Linked DNA regions of Schizosaccharomyces pombe. The protein of the gene in region 3 purifies or fractionates together with the protein of the main gene of each other region. This does not show direct contact. Each region holds a gene or a part of one and is shown on either strand. Other genes may lie near its edges.

Region 1 (5,963 bases), 3.6 Mb from region 3:
TTGTTTCAGTAATCTCAATTGAGATCGATCCTATCAAAATCGCTATGGCAAAGCATAATTTGGAAATTTATGGCATTCCTTCATCTCGAGTCACTTTCATTCAAGGAGACGTTCTTGACACTTTTAAATCTTTGCAGTTTGCTAAAGATTACAGGGTATAGATAATCTTATATATTAATTCTGTGTTTAACAATATTTTCTAGTCTCTTGTTTTTATGAGTCCTCCTTGGGGTGGACCTAGTTACTCAGGAAAAACAGTATATTCATTAAATGACCTAAACCCATATGCTTTTGATGTTCTATTTAAAGAAGCAACTAGGATATCCCCTTATGTTGCTGCATTTTTGCCAAGAAACACTGATGTAAAGGAACTTGCAGCATATGGGAGTATTCATAACAAGCCTTATATTACCAATTTTTTATTTGAAGGATATGCCAAGGCAATTTGCTGCTATTTTAATATGAAGGGTGCTATTGCGCGAAAAATTTGAAAGTTTCAACTCATTTTCACGTGAAGTTCGTCAACTATATATTTGATTTCATAAACATAAATTGATTATTAACATTTTCTACAATGAATATCGTTATAATTAGATTCATCACCAATAAACAAAAAAGGAGCGATCGACGCCCATCATGAGATGTCAAATATTCTTTATAACACTCAGTATTATTTTAGTTTTTGTCGAGCATAGTAGCCAAACCTCCTTCAGGTCTACCAAATAAGGGACATATTTTGTTGGTCTTCATGTGGCCCACTTGACCACAGTTACTACATTTGCGAGTAGTGGGTTTTCGTCCTTCTCCGTTCAAGTTGATTCCTTCTTTGGCAGCATGTCGAGCTCTTCGTCGCTCCCAATTCTTCTGACTCTTGGCAAGTTCTTGTTCAAGACGCCTTCGGTTGCGTCTATCAATTGCTTCGTCTCCAGTTGGTACGACGGCATCAAGAGCAGTTGATTGTTCGTCAATCTCACGCCTCTTCTTCAGATAGGCATGGATGACTATCGGGTCATGAATGGTTTCCTGTTTACGTTCCAAATTTCCATTTTTGTCACGATAAAGTCGAACAATTCGTAAAACTTTATCAGAAGATGGAGTTTCTTCTCTCGTAGTCTCCTCATTAGATTCAACGTAATCATCATGTATAGAATTGATGCCATATTTTTTAGCCAATTCTTCCAGATTATTTATACTTAAACCTCTTTTCTGAGCATTCCAAATCCTATTTATTTCTTCTTCATAAGCCCTTTGTTGCTTTGCAACATTATAGGCGTGAGCATTCTTAGTTTGCGGTTCTGGCTTATCGTCGGCGGTTTCGCCAGCGGGTTTGAAACCACCCTTCATGCTCGTACGAATAAAACTATAACCTTCGCCAATTCCTGTAGGGTCACCCTCACCAAACAGTGTAAGCATGGCCTTCCCTTGGGTAGCATTTATAAAGTTTCTCGTAGTAATCCAAGGCGCTAACAGTTGCTCTGCTGGTTGTTCTTCATCTTCATCATCATTGATCTCATCCATTGTTTTCCCATACCCAGCATCTTCAAGCTGCCGCACACCCACTTGCATACTCTCTAGTAAGCACACTGTTTCAGGTGAAACCATTGACCGTGTACCTGCTTCATCGGGGACAACTTCATTCGATTTTAATTTCCAGTAACCTGGACCATCACCTTTCTTTTTGTATTCCATAAATTCTTTAAGACGCTGTCTAATTTGCATCTCATTCTGATCGGAGAAGTGCTTTGATAATTGTCGAATGAACAATCCTCCATTTGGTGAACGCCTAATAAGCCGGAAAACAAGCATTTTTAATCGATTTTTACTTGCTGTGGTCACTTTACGGGAATGGGGCCCAGGCACGTCAGTAACAGGAAAAGTTTGACCACTCACGAACATATGATTAATGTTTTTTAAGTAATATTTTGAGCCATAGCTACTAGAATTCCGTATTAGAATGAAGTCAGTAGGTGGTACCTCATGCTTAAATAACGGAGCTCTAATCATTTTATTATACAAAGTGGGAGTAATTTCTCCAGGTTCAACAGATCCAAAATTCCAAAAAGGGCTCCGATCCTGAACATCTAAAACGTGGCTTTCACCAACTTCGAGCTTGGGACGTGATTCATCCTGTTCATTTTTCTTTCGATAATAATTAACGATCCTGCTGGCCATACCTGCATTGGACAGCACTGCAGGATGTTCTTCTGAGAACTCAACGAGTATTGCATGTGTGGTATCACCCATTGTTATCTCCTTAGTAGTAGGAATTAATTCTCGTTCAGACTTATGTTTATCTTTACTTCTTTTCCTTACTATTAAAGGTGAAAAGACAATAGCTGCATTAGGTTTGAACGACATGGTTGGTCGATGGTAACTTCGAACAGCACGCTTACTAAGTCTTGTTTTATAGTAAGGAAATGTGAGCTTTTCGGCAAAGGCAGCATGCTCAATTGCTAACTGGGACAAGGTATTACGAACTTTTGACTGATGATTTTGTTTTAACATCTCATAGGCAGGATCGTTGGATATATTAAACTTCCAAGCCAGGGAATTCCTTTGATGGGTGTCTGCAAAAGATCTTTGGGAATCCTCTTTCTTCGGCAATTGAGGTTGTAACAAAAGTTTGGGGTCATTTAAATTTAATACTACTTTCGAGGTACCAGTGTCTCCGTCAAAAATGTTTTCATCAAATGCAAAATCAATATCAACTAGTGATTTGTCAATAAAAAATGATGATTGATTAGTTTTGTTAACATCACTCTCATCGTAAATAATATTTTTTTCCCAATCATTAGTAGTAAAAACGGTGTTGAGATCCAAGCCGTCATTCCTCTTTCGGTTAGTGAAAGCTATTCTAAATCAAACCATACCTGTGATGTATTAGCTGTTCTTCTTCGCTTTTTTGTATGCGTAGATATTGGAGACACAACATTTCGCTTTAATGGTAAAGACTTCTTGCTATTGAATATTATTGCGTAATCTGTATCGACTTCTAACGTTAAACGACCAGGTACGCAAACTTAACATGTCAGATCAGTAAAAAAATACAACAATAATCAATTCATACCTTTTGGGGTCTTTTTCTTTGGAGGAGCAAGCTTAACAGGTTTCGGCTTAAAAAGTTCTGAAAAGTTCAACAAAACACCACGTTCAAAGGTCGGAAAAAAAGTTTTGACAATGCTCTCCCTAATTTGAGCTTCGTTTTGTAATTCTTCTGTAGTAGAAGAAACAGTTTTCGAAGGTTCGGAAGGTGGAACTAATCCCGATGGAATTGAAAAGCCTACTCCGCTGAGGACCTGACCAGCAGCCTCTTCACCCATTTCTTTAGCTAAAAGCTTTCCAAAATCTTCATCATCCTTATCCCCGGTGTAATTTACAGCTTGTTCTTCCTCTGGTAGATTATCATCACTTACATCTTCCATATCATCCATTTCATTTATGTTATTACCAAATTCCTTATGAATTGAACCCATAAAGTCAAAATCTTCATAATTTGGTCCATCCTGAGGGTTGGAATTTTCAAAACTAGAATCTAAAATTTTTGGGGACTCATTCATCCCTGGATTGTTTGTATCTCCTAAAAGAGAATTTATTACAGACATGTCTGTACCATTTTGCTTAAATAAATCTGTCAGGTCCTACATTCGTTAGTTTAAGATTATAGATTTCAAAATACCTACATTTCCATCATTGTATCCAGATTTCGTATTTTCATTTTCAACTATAAGACCATCAAAAGACATAATATATTTCAAAATTTATGTATGGCCTCACTAAGCCGTTATATATGATATTAATCGACTTGTGGCGAAATGGGTGTTGGCTAAGGGATACTTTTCGTCTGCCGATGAATATAGACTCAGGTAACATTAGCTTACTGATGAATCTTGGGTGACAGAATTAAATTCATATAATAATATATATCTATTAACTATTAAATCCTCGATAATTTCGTTTATTAATTGGAAAGACTCATGAAAATAATTAGGCTTGGCGCTCACTGTACATTAATCAATAGTTTAATGTCTCGAAAAAATAAAGAACCGCAGACTTGTTTAATTAAATCAATAAATAAATGCTAGTGGGTGAGTTAAGAGGAGGACCTATGCAAGTTGGGGGTTTTGCTGTGTTGATACATTATCCATAAAGAAGACAAAGGTAAAGTCATAACAACAATTACAAAAATGTAGACGGCACGTAAATCAGATGTGTAGTTCGAAATAAGTGTTAAAGAAATATGGCTAAATAACACACCGGTTTGTGATATCAAAGCGTAGAGGGCAAAGAATCTAGTTTCTTTTCCAGATGGCACTAGTTGAGCGTATACGGACCTACAATAACTATGCGCACCTCCTAAGAAAAAGCCAAAGAATAAAGTAGCCCGGAAAACGTCAGCTGATGTTCGTATTCCAGCATTTTCAAATCCAGGAATGTAACCCAAAAGGCCATATAAAGGAGCCATCGGCAAGAGGATGGAAATAATCATTACTACTTGTAACGAGTTCAGTTGAAAATACTCAGTAAGATAGGGTATAATTACGGTGCCTAACAATGCGAAAGAAGATATTCCCATTCCTAGCAAAGTCAGCTGAAAGTTAGAGAGATTCAACCTTGCTTTTCCAAAAATAACGGCAGAAGAAAGAGAAGTTTGAATTCCACAATTAATGAAGAGTCGTGAAAATAGGAATAGCCTAATCGAAGAAATACTCATTGCATGCTTGAATGAATGATACGACTCTTTCACACTATTATAAAGTAGTGTCAGGATAGCATCACTTGAGTGATTTTCCACAGGTAGTGTAACAATGGTACAAAGGGGGGTTGAAAGTATAAGCCACCAACATGAACACACTGTAACAGTTATTGGCAAGATTATTGGATTGTTATTAGTTTTGTACAAAATGGGAGTAAAAATAATCTGAAAGAGAATAGCAGCGCCGAAGAAGCTACCGAAGCCAACGCTTGATAATCGAGCAGCGATTTTAGCCTTGTGTTCATCTTCCACATCTGCAGGAGGAGCGGATTCATTAAGTATTAGGCTGTGTTCAAGCAAATAGGGCTCTTCTTCACTAGAATCAATGGTGGTATTTGTTATGTAGCTATCTAGGTCATCTGTTTCATCCTGAAGAGCGGATTCCAATGTTATAGGTCCTCTCGTGATAGGGTAGAATCTCAAAAAAATAGGGAGAAAGCTGTCATAGCAGGATTGAGATATAATAAAGTTCAAGTCGACCAGAATCAAAAACACTATTTTTCCCAAAAGAAAACTCGAGGGACTCCACGAAAGTATAATACCACTAATAGAACCTATGATAACGCATGAAAACAAGATGTATCTTCTGTTATTTCCATAATCGCAAATAACACCCAAGCTAACCATCATAGCCATCTGTAAAAAAGTTGAAATAGCTGATGCAGCGAATACAATAGAACTAACATCAATCCATAGCGGACCAACTATATTCAAAGAGCAAGGTTCTTCTGGATATAAAGAACAAGGAATTGTGTGATCTGTTCTTAAAAAACCATGATCATGGGCATTTTTCATAACAATTAAAGGAACATACACCCCCATACTTATAATTGCAGTAGGACCTGCCCCAACTGCATAAAGAATCCAGCTCAGAACATGCCAAACTGTAGTGGAAAACTTCTTGTGAAGTTGTATTGGAGAATTCATATTGATAGCTCAATCGTCAAAAACTATGGAAATACAAATTACTGAAGATAATATGAAAACATAAATTTTGAAAGGGAATGAGAAAAGAAAAGTAAACTGTTGTAGTTATCTTAAAATTGTGGTTGGTGTAGCGGATTTATTAGCTACGCAATAGGGACATAACTGCTCGGGGGGAGACCAAACAATGCATGGACAAAACAAACAAAATAGATACAATCATGGCTGCTTCTAAAAAATTTTTAAGCGATCAACTAAATAATTATTGTATCATTTAATAATAGCT
Region 2 (3,928 bases), 2.2 Mb from region 3:
GTCCTACTACTGCCTCCTCTGATGCCGCTACTTCCTCTCTTTCCGTCATTTACACTCCTGACGGTCAATTCCAAAAATACAGCTTTTACCCCCTTAATCCCAACCTCATTTTCATCGATACCGATGTGATTGTTCGCGCTCCCGTCCGCTTCCTTATTAGTGGCATTGGTGATGCTTTGTCCACCTGGGTGGAAACTGAATCCGTTATTCGCTCAAATTCCACTTCCTTTGCCGGAGGTGTGGCCTCCATTGCTGGCCGTTACATTGCCCGTGCTTGCAAAGACACTCTTGAAAAGTATGCCCTGAGCGCTATTCTTTCCAACACTCGCGGTGTTTGTACCGAGGCATTTGAGAACGTGGTCGAGGCCAACACATTGATGTCTGGTCTAGGCTTTGAAAACGGTGGTCTTGCTGCTGCTCATGCCATCCATAACGGTATGACCGCCATCCACGGTCCCGTTCATCGTTTAATGCATGGTGAAAAGGTTGCTTACGGTACCTTAGTTCAAGTTGTTTTGGAGGATTGGCCGTTGGAAGACTTCAATAATCTTGCTTCTTTTATGGCAAAATGTCATCTTCCCATTACCCTTGAGGAACTTGGTATTCCCAACGTAACCGATGAAGAGTTATTGATGGTAGGTAGAGCTACTTTGCGACCTGATGAGAGTATTCACAACATGTCAAAGAAGTTCAATCCATCTCAAATTGCTGACGCTATTAAAGCCGTTGACTCCTATTCACAAAAATGGCAAGAACAAACTGGATGGACCGAGCGTTTTAGATTACCCCCTTCTCGTCATAGTCCTCACTTGACCGACATTCATCCATAGGCATTATTTTTATCCCCAGCTTCAATTTTCCCTAGTAAATCCAAAAGAAGAAAAGAAATTTTTAAGCGGGTTTTCTTCATTGATCATTAATGTCCTGAGTGTTTTTTTTTCTATAGTAGTCTTTTATTTCGTGTGCTTCCTTTCCTCTTGGAACTTTTTTTACCTTTTTTCTTTCTTCCTTTTTTTTATTTTTTTAAAAAAGTTGTAAGCTTTTCCCGTTAATCTAGTGATTTAATGATCAACCTTTTCGGCCTACTCCAAAGTTTTTTACGCCCCTTATAACTTCATGAATAATTTGCTTTATTTTTGTTACGAATGAAAAAAATTGTTCCCCTTTTCAAATGAATGTTTTATCGTTGTTAGTTGTATTGTATTAAAGTTGTTCACCGTAATTGATCTATTTGTTACAATGCACATCATCTGTGTTGCTTCCTTTTTTTTTTTTTTTTTTTGCAATCGCTTTTTATTGTGATAGATTTCAAAAGTTTTAAATGTAATTACAATTAATAATGTTCCTATGTTAGAAAACTTTAAATAACTAAAGTGATTTGTTTTCACGTATTATACAATTGTCGCTAGTGGCCTTGTCAAACATTCGTTGTTATTATATTATATGCTAACTCAATATGATTAGTATGCTACAAATGGTATAATAAGTGAGTAAATCCCGGATTCCTAGCTACATTGAAAACCCTTTTTACCTTAACCTTTGCATCGATCAACAATTTCGCGCTTTATTTACATTGTTTACTGTGGGATAAATAAGTAGTGTTGTCAACAATACATTACTCAAGGATACACTACGTTGAGTATCACTATATGACACATGTCCTAATCATTCATCGTTGTATGAAACAGTATTGAGATTGACCTTAATAATAATCTATTAATATTTTTATTATCTGAATACTATAAATAGGGCTACTGCCGAACCTTGTTCCTCAGTTCAGTAGTTTAGCTATGTCGGTGATCGATACTAATGGACTTCTTATAGTAACAAATATACATTGTTAGTTAAACATACCACATACCGCTATACTGTAGGTCGCAAGAGAAACTCACCGCAGTTCTATGAATCGTTAAATAGATACCAAACTGCGTAGCTGACAGGTGTTTGCAGATAACGATTGTATTAAAAAAATGTTGTAAATCACTATGGCTCGTTAGTAGTAGATAACGAGACTCACTTGAAGGTTTAGCGACTTGCTAATCGAGCGTTTGCCAACGACAATTACTCAAAAGGCGGTTTTCGAAAATGGTTAAGCTAAAAATTCGTGCTGTTCAGCCTCCTCCAAATGATTCACGATCTAGCACTCCAGCCACTGGTCCTCCTCCCCCAATTCCTAAAATTAAGATCAAGACACGTGAACCTAAAGGCCCTCGATTGACAAAAATTCGGTTAAAAAGAGTTCGCGAACCTGGCTTAGGATATGATTCAGAAGCTTCTGACAGAGAAGAAGACACTTATATTGAAGAACAAATTATATTACGTCTTCCTCCTGGTGAAGATTGTGAGTATGTTCGAAAAGCAATTGAAAATAGGGAAGTGGGACGAGGTGCAGACATATGGGTGAAGTTCAAAGGTAATGACTTGGTTACACTATATTATTATTAACAGAGTTAGATCAAAGAAGAGCGGTTGTTCATGTTAATGGTCATTTGTACGCTGCGAAGTTAGTTGATTTGCCATGCATCATAGAATCTAATAAATCATTCGACAAAAAAGTTATCTTCAAGGCTGCTGACATCTGTCAAATGTTGATAGCTACAGAAAGAATCGAGCACGAAAATTCTGTTCTCAATACTCAGTTAAAGCAAGCTGATTACATTTATCCACATGGATTGACGACGCCAATGCATTGGGTGCGGCAGAAGCGATTTCGAAAACGTGTTTCGAACAGAACAATCGAAGCAGTTGAAAATGAGGTTGACCGATTGCTTGCAATGGATGAACGCGCTGAAAGTACATCGAATGAGTTGATTGATCAAGCACAATTGGCTCGTGACTCAAGCATCGCTCTTTCAGAGGATACATCGTTTGATGGAATGGCAGGACTTCGTGGTACCAGCATCGATCGGGACGACCAAAGCGTGCAAACTGATATGTTTGATGGTATGGATGAGGACGATTTGGCTGGACAGATTGAACAGGGTATGCTTGAGCTTAGTCAAGATACTCGGGAGTCAACAGCAGAACCTCGTGCCGCAGGTGAAGAATCTGCTAGTGAAGAAGAAGAAGAGGAGGAAGAAGAAGAAGAAGAGGAAAATGAAGCTGACGATGAGACTCGCGAAAATAAACGACAAAATAGACTTGTTCGTGAGTTTATTTCAGAGTTGGAGTCTTCTATTCAAAAACGTAGAAAGGATGCCGATGAAGCAACTAATCCCATTCTACGAAATCGTTTCCTTGCAGACGTTAATCGTATGGTGACCGAGTTAGAGTTAAAACGTACTCAACTTGTCGATAACCCTGAATAAATGTGTTGCGTAGTTACATCTTTTTACATTTTTTTTTAAAGAAAAAAGCATTTATTTCTATACGTTTTACCTTTTGCATATCAGCTACAATAATAATGAACATCGGTTATGGTTTGGATATATATACATATATTTATATTTTATATAGTAGATTGTAAATTGCATATTAAGTATTTTAGACACTGATAGCCAGAATTAGTTTTGTTAATGAAGTGTACCGAACTTTATTACAACAATCATTTTTCTGCATAAGCAATTCTATTTAAACGTATACATATATTTATTAATATACATTTATATGCTCATAAATAAATTTATATACTTGAAGATTACTATTTCTTCAACTTGACAATGATGCATTCATTGTCGCTTATAGTAACATAAACTTTTGCTAACTCTACAAAAAAACCCTTCCATTCGGTAACCTGAAAATTATGCCGACATGGAGGTATATTTTTTCATTAAGAAGTAAATCTTCTTTCACTAAAACCTGGGTACCGTTTACTCAAATTCGAAATTCTAGTAAATCCCCCAAAGTCGGCCAAAAGCCAATTTTACAAGGCGCGTTAGGACCTCCGTTAGATTTTATTAGACCGAAGGAAAAAGTAACTCTACCTCCT
Region 3 (5,061 bases):
AGCATAACCGCGATCGATAATGCGCTGAACAAAATCTACGATTTCAGGAACATATTCCGAAACTCGCGTAACAGCAGTAGGTGGCAAGACATTCAGATTAGCCATGTCCTTGTTGAAGTCATCTTCCCAATAAGCTGCAAGTTTACGAAAGATTGCAGGATCAGTCACGGTGCTACCCAATTCTGCATCAAGCAATGGGACCAAAACATCTTGTACCTTGGGCCAAAACCCATCCAAAGAAATGATTTCAGAAGCTTCACTCACCTGAAGAGCGTCCAAAGCAGACTTTAAAGCATCCACATGCATGGGTAACTTGGGATTGTTGATAGCTAAAGTGGGAATATCATGGGATGCGAGCCATTGAGGCCATTCACTCATCGAGGAGGGAGGTTCAGGAAGATTTTTCTTGGCATATGCAAACCAAGCCTCAGTAACCTTTTCACGAGCTTCTGAATGGGATTTGTTAGTACCTTGCTGCTTTTTATATTCTTCAAATAAATATTGTTGACGAGCTCTAAGGATAATTTTGTCATCTATATCAGTAACGTTTTGTACAAATGTAATGTTATATCCAAAATAAGATTGTAAGATTCTTCGAAGGATATCAGTTGTCACATAATTACGAGCATGCCCCATATGACTAGCATCATATACCGTAGGTCCACAGCAGTACCATGTTAAGTTGGAACCATTTGAAACAAAAGGCACCTTGCTATGAGTTAAGGTGTTGTATACATAGAGCTCCGTTCTTTGTCCTTTAGGAACACCCCAATGCGATTGAGCGGGATTTCTAGTCGACATTAGATTTTTATTAAAAAAGCGACTAGAACTATTGAAACAACGAGCCACGAGTTTAAAAATCGTGATTTTGATTATTTTGTCGTTGAGTTGGGTAAAAATTTGGCAGGATAACCTGAATTAAGATAACGGAGTATTTGATGCGCAATTTTACAGGTTATTGTTAGTACTTGAACTAAGCAAGCAAAAACATTTTGCAAACAAAAAATAAAAACAAAATTTCAATACCTAATTATATTTTTCCTCATATTAAACTAGTAAAGTAGCCAATAGATTTATTTCATCTTTTTTTTTTTTTTTTTTTGACGATATTATTGCAAATAAGTTGTTGGTTTCCATCTCAGCATACCAATTGATATGCTTTGAAAATGTCTTATCCGTATTAATCTTAGTTTTGTTGAATCGAAAATATTTAAACAACTCTGGTGTCCTCATATGTTTCTGCCTTCATTACAGATCTTCTATAGTTTTTGCATTAAAGCCATTTAATTGAATGACATTGTCAAGTTATTGATATTAGATAAAAATTTGAATTTTACATTTCAAAAAGTAAATATCATGTTATCTTATTTCTTTCTGTAAAGGATACTTTAAATTACTAACAAAGAAACTTTGAAATCATATTTTAGAACAATTTATTAATATGCATCAGGAGGTTATTATAACAAAGAATGACATTTATCTCAAAAGACTAACAATGGTTTATCGTCTCTTGGATACCGTTTAAAACAAATACTTCTTTTATAGTTTAAGAAAACCCTTATAAAGACTTGAGGGATTAATGATTTGTTTTTGTTTTCTTTAATTAAAAAAAAAAAAAAAAAAAAAAAAAAAAACTCAGATCGATTTATATTTTCTTTCTGCAATTTCACATTTTATTAATTGAATGATAAAATAACAAGTAGCGATGGAATACTATATTCGTGAAACGCTAATTACAGATTTTCAGGATGTTAAGACTTTAAAAAATAAAAGAAAATGCTTCAGTTTCTTTTTTGAACTTAGATTATTTTCCCCTCAATGTTTGTTTATAGTATATTTTTTTTATTTACTACACGTGAGAATAAACACCTCTCCTTTGTTTATAAAAACTACGACACGACCAACAGCGTTAATCCATATAACAAAATACAGTGAAGCGTTAGCGTCGAGACTGCTGAAAGGGCATATGACGCAGCTCTCACTCCGTACCATCCTTCCACCTGCGCACACAAAAAATTTACATCGCCAGCAACCAACTACTTGGTTAGATAGCTAGTGCCTTTGTTCAAATTTTATACCAAAGCTTGATTCAGCTTTTCTAGACTAAATGCGGTACTTTATTTTGCACTTCCTATACTCATTTTCGTCTATATCTCGTTCGTATTGCGTTTGAAGGACTTTTTTTTGTAAACGAGAAATTTATACATAGAAGCTAATAAGAAAGTTGTAAAAACGTATTTTATAAATAAAAAATCGCGCATTTCTTTACTATTCAGCCATCGCCGCGGTTTCACAACACTCAGAAACCCTAACCCTGAAAGATCGGGTATATATAAATAAGTGCAGCAGCCGTCACCTGCAGGCTTTCCATTAGGGGTGGGATAACGCAATTCTACGAGTAGCGTAAAATAATAATTGATTTACTGCAATGGATTTCGCTTTACCCACCACGGCCTCGCAAGCGAGTGCCTTTATGAATAACTCTTCTTTAACGTTCCCTGTTCTCCCCAATGCCAATAACGAGGCTACAAATGAGACGGCAGATTCCGGGGATGCAGAAGTTTCAAAAAATGAAGGTGTATCTGGCATTGTTCCAACCCTTCAAAATATTGTTGCTACTGTAAACTTAGAGTAAGTCGTGCCTCTTTGGATAGGGAACAAGGCGTATTGCCGTCGCGGTGAGTTCATCGGAAATCTTTTGTATAGACATGGCGTTTGGGTAAGAGCGATTGTTAATGGTTATTTGATTTTTGTTTTGTTTATATTTAACTACCATGTCACGAGATTTCCGAAGGCAATGACCGCAGGGGATGATACGTCTCGTTAACAAAATTTTCCATTGAGTTAGCAAATTAGACCTTATTACTAATAATCCTCTTAAAATAGCTGTCGTCTTGATCTCAAAACTATTGCGCTACATGCACGTAATGCAGAATACAACCCAAAAGTACGTTAAACCCTTTTAATTTTGTTTGAGGTCTGTTATTGACCAAACATAGCGTTTTGCCGCTGTTATTATGCGTATCCGTGAACCCAAGTCTACTGCATTGATTTTCGCGTCTGGTAAAATGGTTGTTTTGGGTGGCAAATCCGAGGATGACTCCAAGCTCGCGTCTAGAAAGTATGCGCGTATCATCCAAAAACTCGGTTTTAATGCCAAGTTCACGGATTTTAAGATTCAGAACATTGTAGGAAGTTGCGATGTTAAATTTCCAATTCGTTTGGAAGGTTTGGCTTACTCCCACGGTACTTTCTCATCTGTAAGTTCATCATCTTTAAAGATGTTGTTGCTGTTAAAAGACGAATAAGTATCTAACTGTTCTTTTTTAGTATGAGCCTGAGTTGTTTCCCGGTTTGATTTATCGCATGGTAAAACCAAAAGTTGTTCTATTGATTTTTGTTTCTGGTAAAATTGTTTTAACTGGTGCGAAAGTCCGTGAGGAAATTTACCAAGCTTTTGAAGCCATTTATCCAGTATTGTCTGAATTTCGAAAACATTAAGGCATGTCAACAGTTATCACACAGTTTTGTGTCAATGTTCATGGGTATTGTTGGGTAAAAGACCTTAGTCGGGGTCAGGTTATTTTTTGATCTTTAACATTAAACCCTTAAAAAGCTTTCCGGAGAATCCCCTTCACTGTAAGTCATCATTTATGAGTATTTTTATATGATGCAGATGATAGAGACATCCTTTGAAAAGTTTTTTCTTCAAAATCAGAAACTGATCTGTGAGTTTCTTCTTTTACGGCGCAACACAGCTTTATTCAAGAAAACTATAGAGGCTGAAATTGCGTATCTTATTTGAAAACCTGCAGTTGATGAATGTGTGCTCTTAAAAGTGCGTGCAAGTGTCTTCGCGATACTACTTGTTTTCCTCTGTGTTTATCATTAAACATTAGTTGAGCATTGCTTCATTAAATCTTCTAGCTTCAGGACTGGTGGCCAAATCGGTACAATGTTCTGTATAGCTTTGTATAATTCATTTTTTCATGATCGTGTAATAATAATAATAATCTTTTAAAAATTGAAATAATTTGGTTTTAGTCTGAAGAGCGTATATCGACAGTTCTTAAAAAGTATTGATTCCATTCGAAAATTAGACGATTATGATACTATGGAGTTTAAAGGAACTGAGTATCTGCTGTTCCTGTAAAATACTTTAAGTTCTTAATAGCGCTAATAGAAGGAAATGCGTAAACATGAACACTAATACGGTAATCGAATAACGACGAGCCTGTGGCACCTAAAAAAAGAGTAATAAAATGAGTTTGTATAGCAAGCAGAAGCAGCCAACATCTAACTAAGTCGCGATTTGCAATATAATCGCTTTTTACATATAAAAAAAAACCAAATGTTGTCTGAACTTCCTGAAGTGATATTTAAAGGGACTGAGTTTGAAGAGCAATTGTCGAATTTAACATCGGACAGCCAGGCGAATAAAAGAGTTTATGAAGATTATGATTTTAAGGATGAAACATCAGCAAAACCAATTCCCACAGAAAAAAAATTAAAAGTATTTAAAAAGGATGATAATGTGGAGACATTACTATCTGCTTTAGAAATTCAAAATGAGAAATCGAAGCAACAAGTCGAGTATTCCTTTATCCCACTGAAGCAGGACGATGGTGATATCTTAACATCACCTGGAGATTTCGAAAATGCATCAACATCCCCGGTTTCAGATGTCACTTATGTAAACACTAAATTAGTAGATTTTATATCTTCTGTCCTTCTAGAGGAGAATCAGGGTCTTGCTTTGCATCAGTTAACGCTAAAGTTGATAAATATTGGCGAATCTTTTCACTCACTTCTTCCAATTAATCTACCTTATGAACCTTACGTTATTGCTAATTATGTGGAGCGCCAATTAAGGAGTTATATATCTGATACTTCCTCGAGCAAGCAAAGTTTATTATCTTTAAAAAATTCTTCGAATGGTACCGTTTATGTTTCTACAACTTTACCATGTCCCGTAGAGTTAAAGCCAAATATCACTGCTATAGACACTGCTGAGCGGAATTCTTACCTGTGGGGTATTTTACAGCCTCCCGAACCTTCAGC

What was found. The genes of interacting proteins can lie anywhere in the genome.
Region 1: the proteins of tbp1 (region 3) and taf1 purify together in Schizosaccharomyces pombe (affinity purification with western blotting, with the first as the bait; one study listed by BioGRID). This does not show direct contact.
Region 2: the proteins of tbp1 (region 3) and taf7 purify together in Schizosaccharomyces pombe (affinity purification with western blotting, with the first as the bait; one study listed by BioGRID). This does not show direct contact.

What each region holds. Positions count from the first base shown.
Region 1 is NC_003424.3:836,100-842,062, reverse strand, and holds taf1 (transcription factor TFIID complex, histone acetyltransferase subunit Taf111), read right to left. Parts: upstream 3,826-5,963; 5' UTR 3,744-3,825; coding exon 3,681-3,743; exon of another isoform or gene 3,639-3,680; coding exon 3,068-3,638; exon of another isoform or gene 3,053-3,067; intron 3,020-3,052; coding exon 2,871-3,019; intron 2,833-2,870; coding exon 676-2,832; 3' UTR 501-675; downstream 1-500. Other genes in the region: RNA methyltransferase Tgs1, read left to right, coding at 10-155, 204-491; vacuolar amino acid transmembrane transporter Atg22, read right to left, coding at 4,091-5,680.
Region 2 is NC_003424.3:2,171,910-2,175,837, reverse strand, and holds taf7 (transcription factor TFIID complex subunit Taf7), read left to right. Parts: upstream 1-2,050; 5' UTR 2,051-2,085; coding exon 2,086-2,413; exon of another isoform or gene 2,414-2,454; coding exon 2,455-3,308; 3' UTR 3,309-3,428; downstream 3,429-3,928. Other genes in the region: glycerol dehydrogenase Gld1, read left to right, coding at 1-830; mismatch repair ATPase msh1, read left to right, coding at 3,743-3,928. UniProt on the Schizosaccharomyces pombe protein: TAFs are components of the transcription factor IID (TFIID) complex that are essential for mediating regulation of RNA polymerase transcription. Also involved in the transport of mRNA from the nucleus to the cytoplasm.
Region 3 is NC_003424.3:4,413,119-4,418,179, forward strand, and holds tbp1 (TATA-binding protein (TBP)), read left to right. Parts: upstream 1-2,360; 5' UTR 2,361-2,428; coding exon 2,429-2,631; exon of another isoform or gene 2,632-2,886; coding exon 2,887-2,947; exon of another isoform or gene 2,948-2,999; coding exon 3,000-3,260; exon of another isoform or gene 3,261-3,330; coding exon 3,331-3,501; 3' UTR 3,502-4,033; downstream 4,034-5,061. Other genes in the region: SPOM_SPAC29E6.06C (cysteine--tRNA(Cys) ligase Crs1), read right to left, coding at 1-801; SPOM_SPAC29E6.07 (uncharacterized protein), read left to right, coding at 1,706-2,056; SPOM_SPAC29E6.09 (uncharacterized protein), read left to right, coding at 4,352-5,061. UniProt on the Schizosaccharomyces pombe protein: General transcription factor that functions at the core of the DNA-binding multiprotein factor TFIID.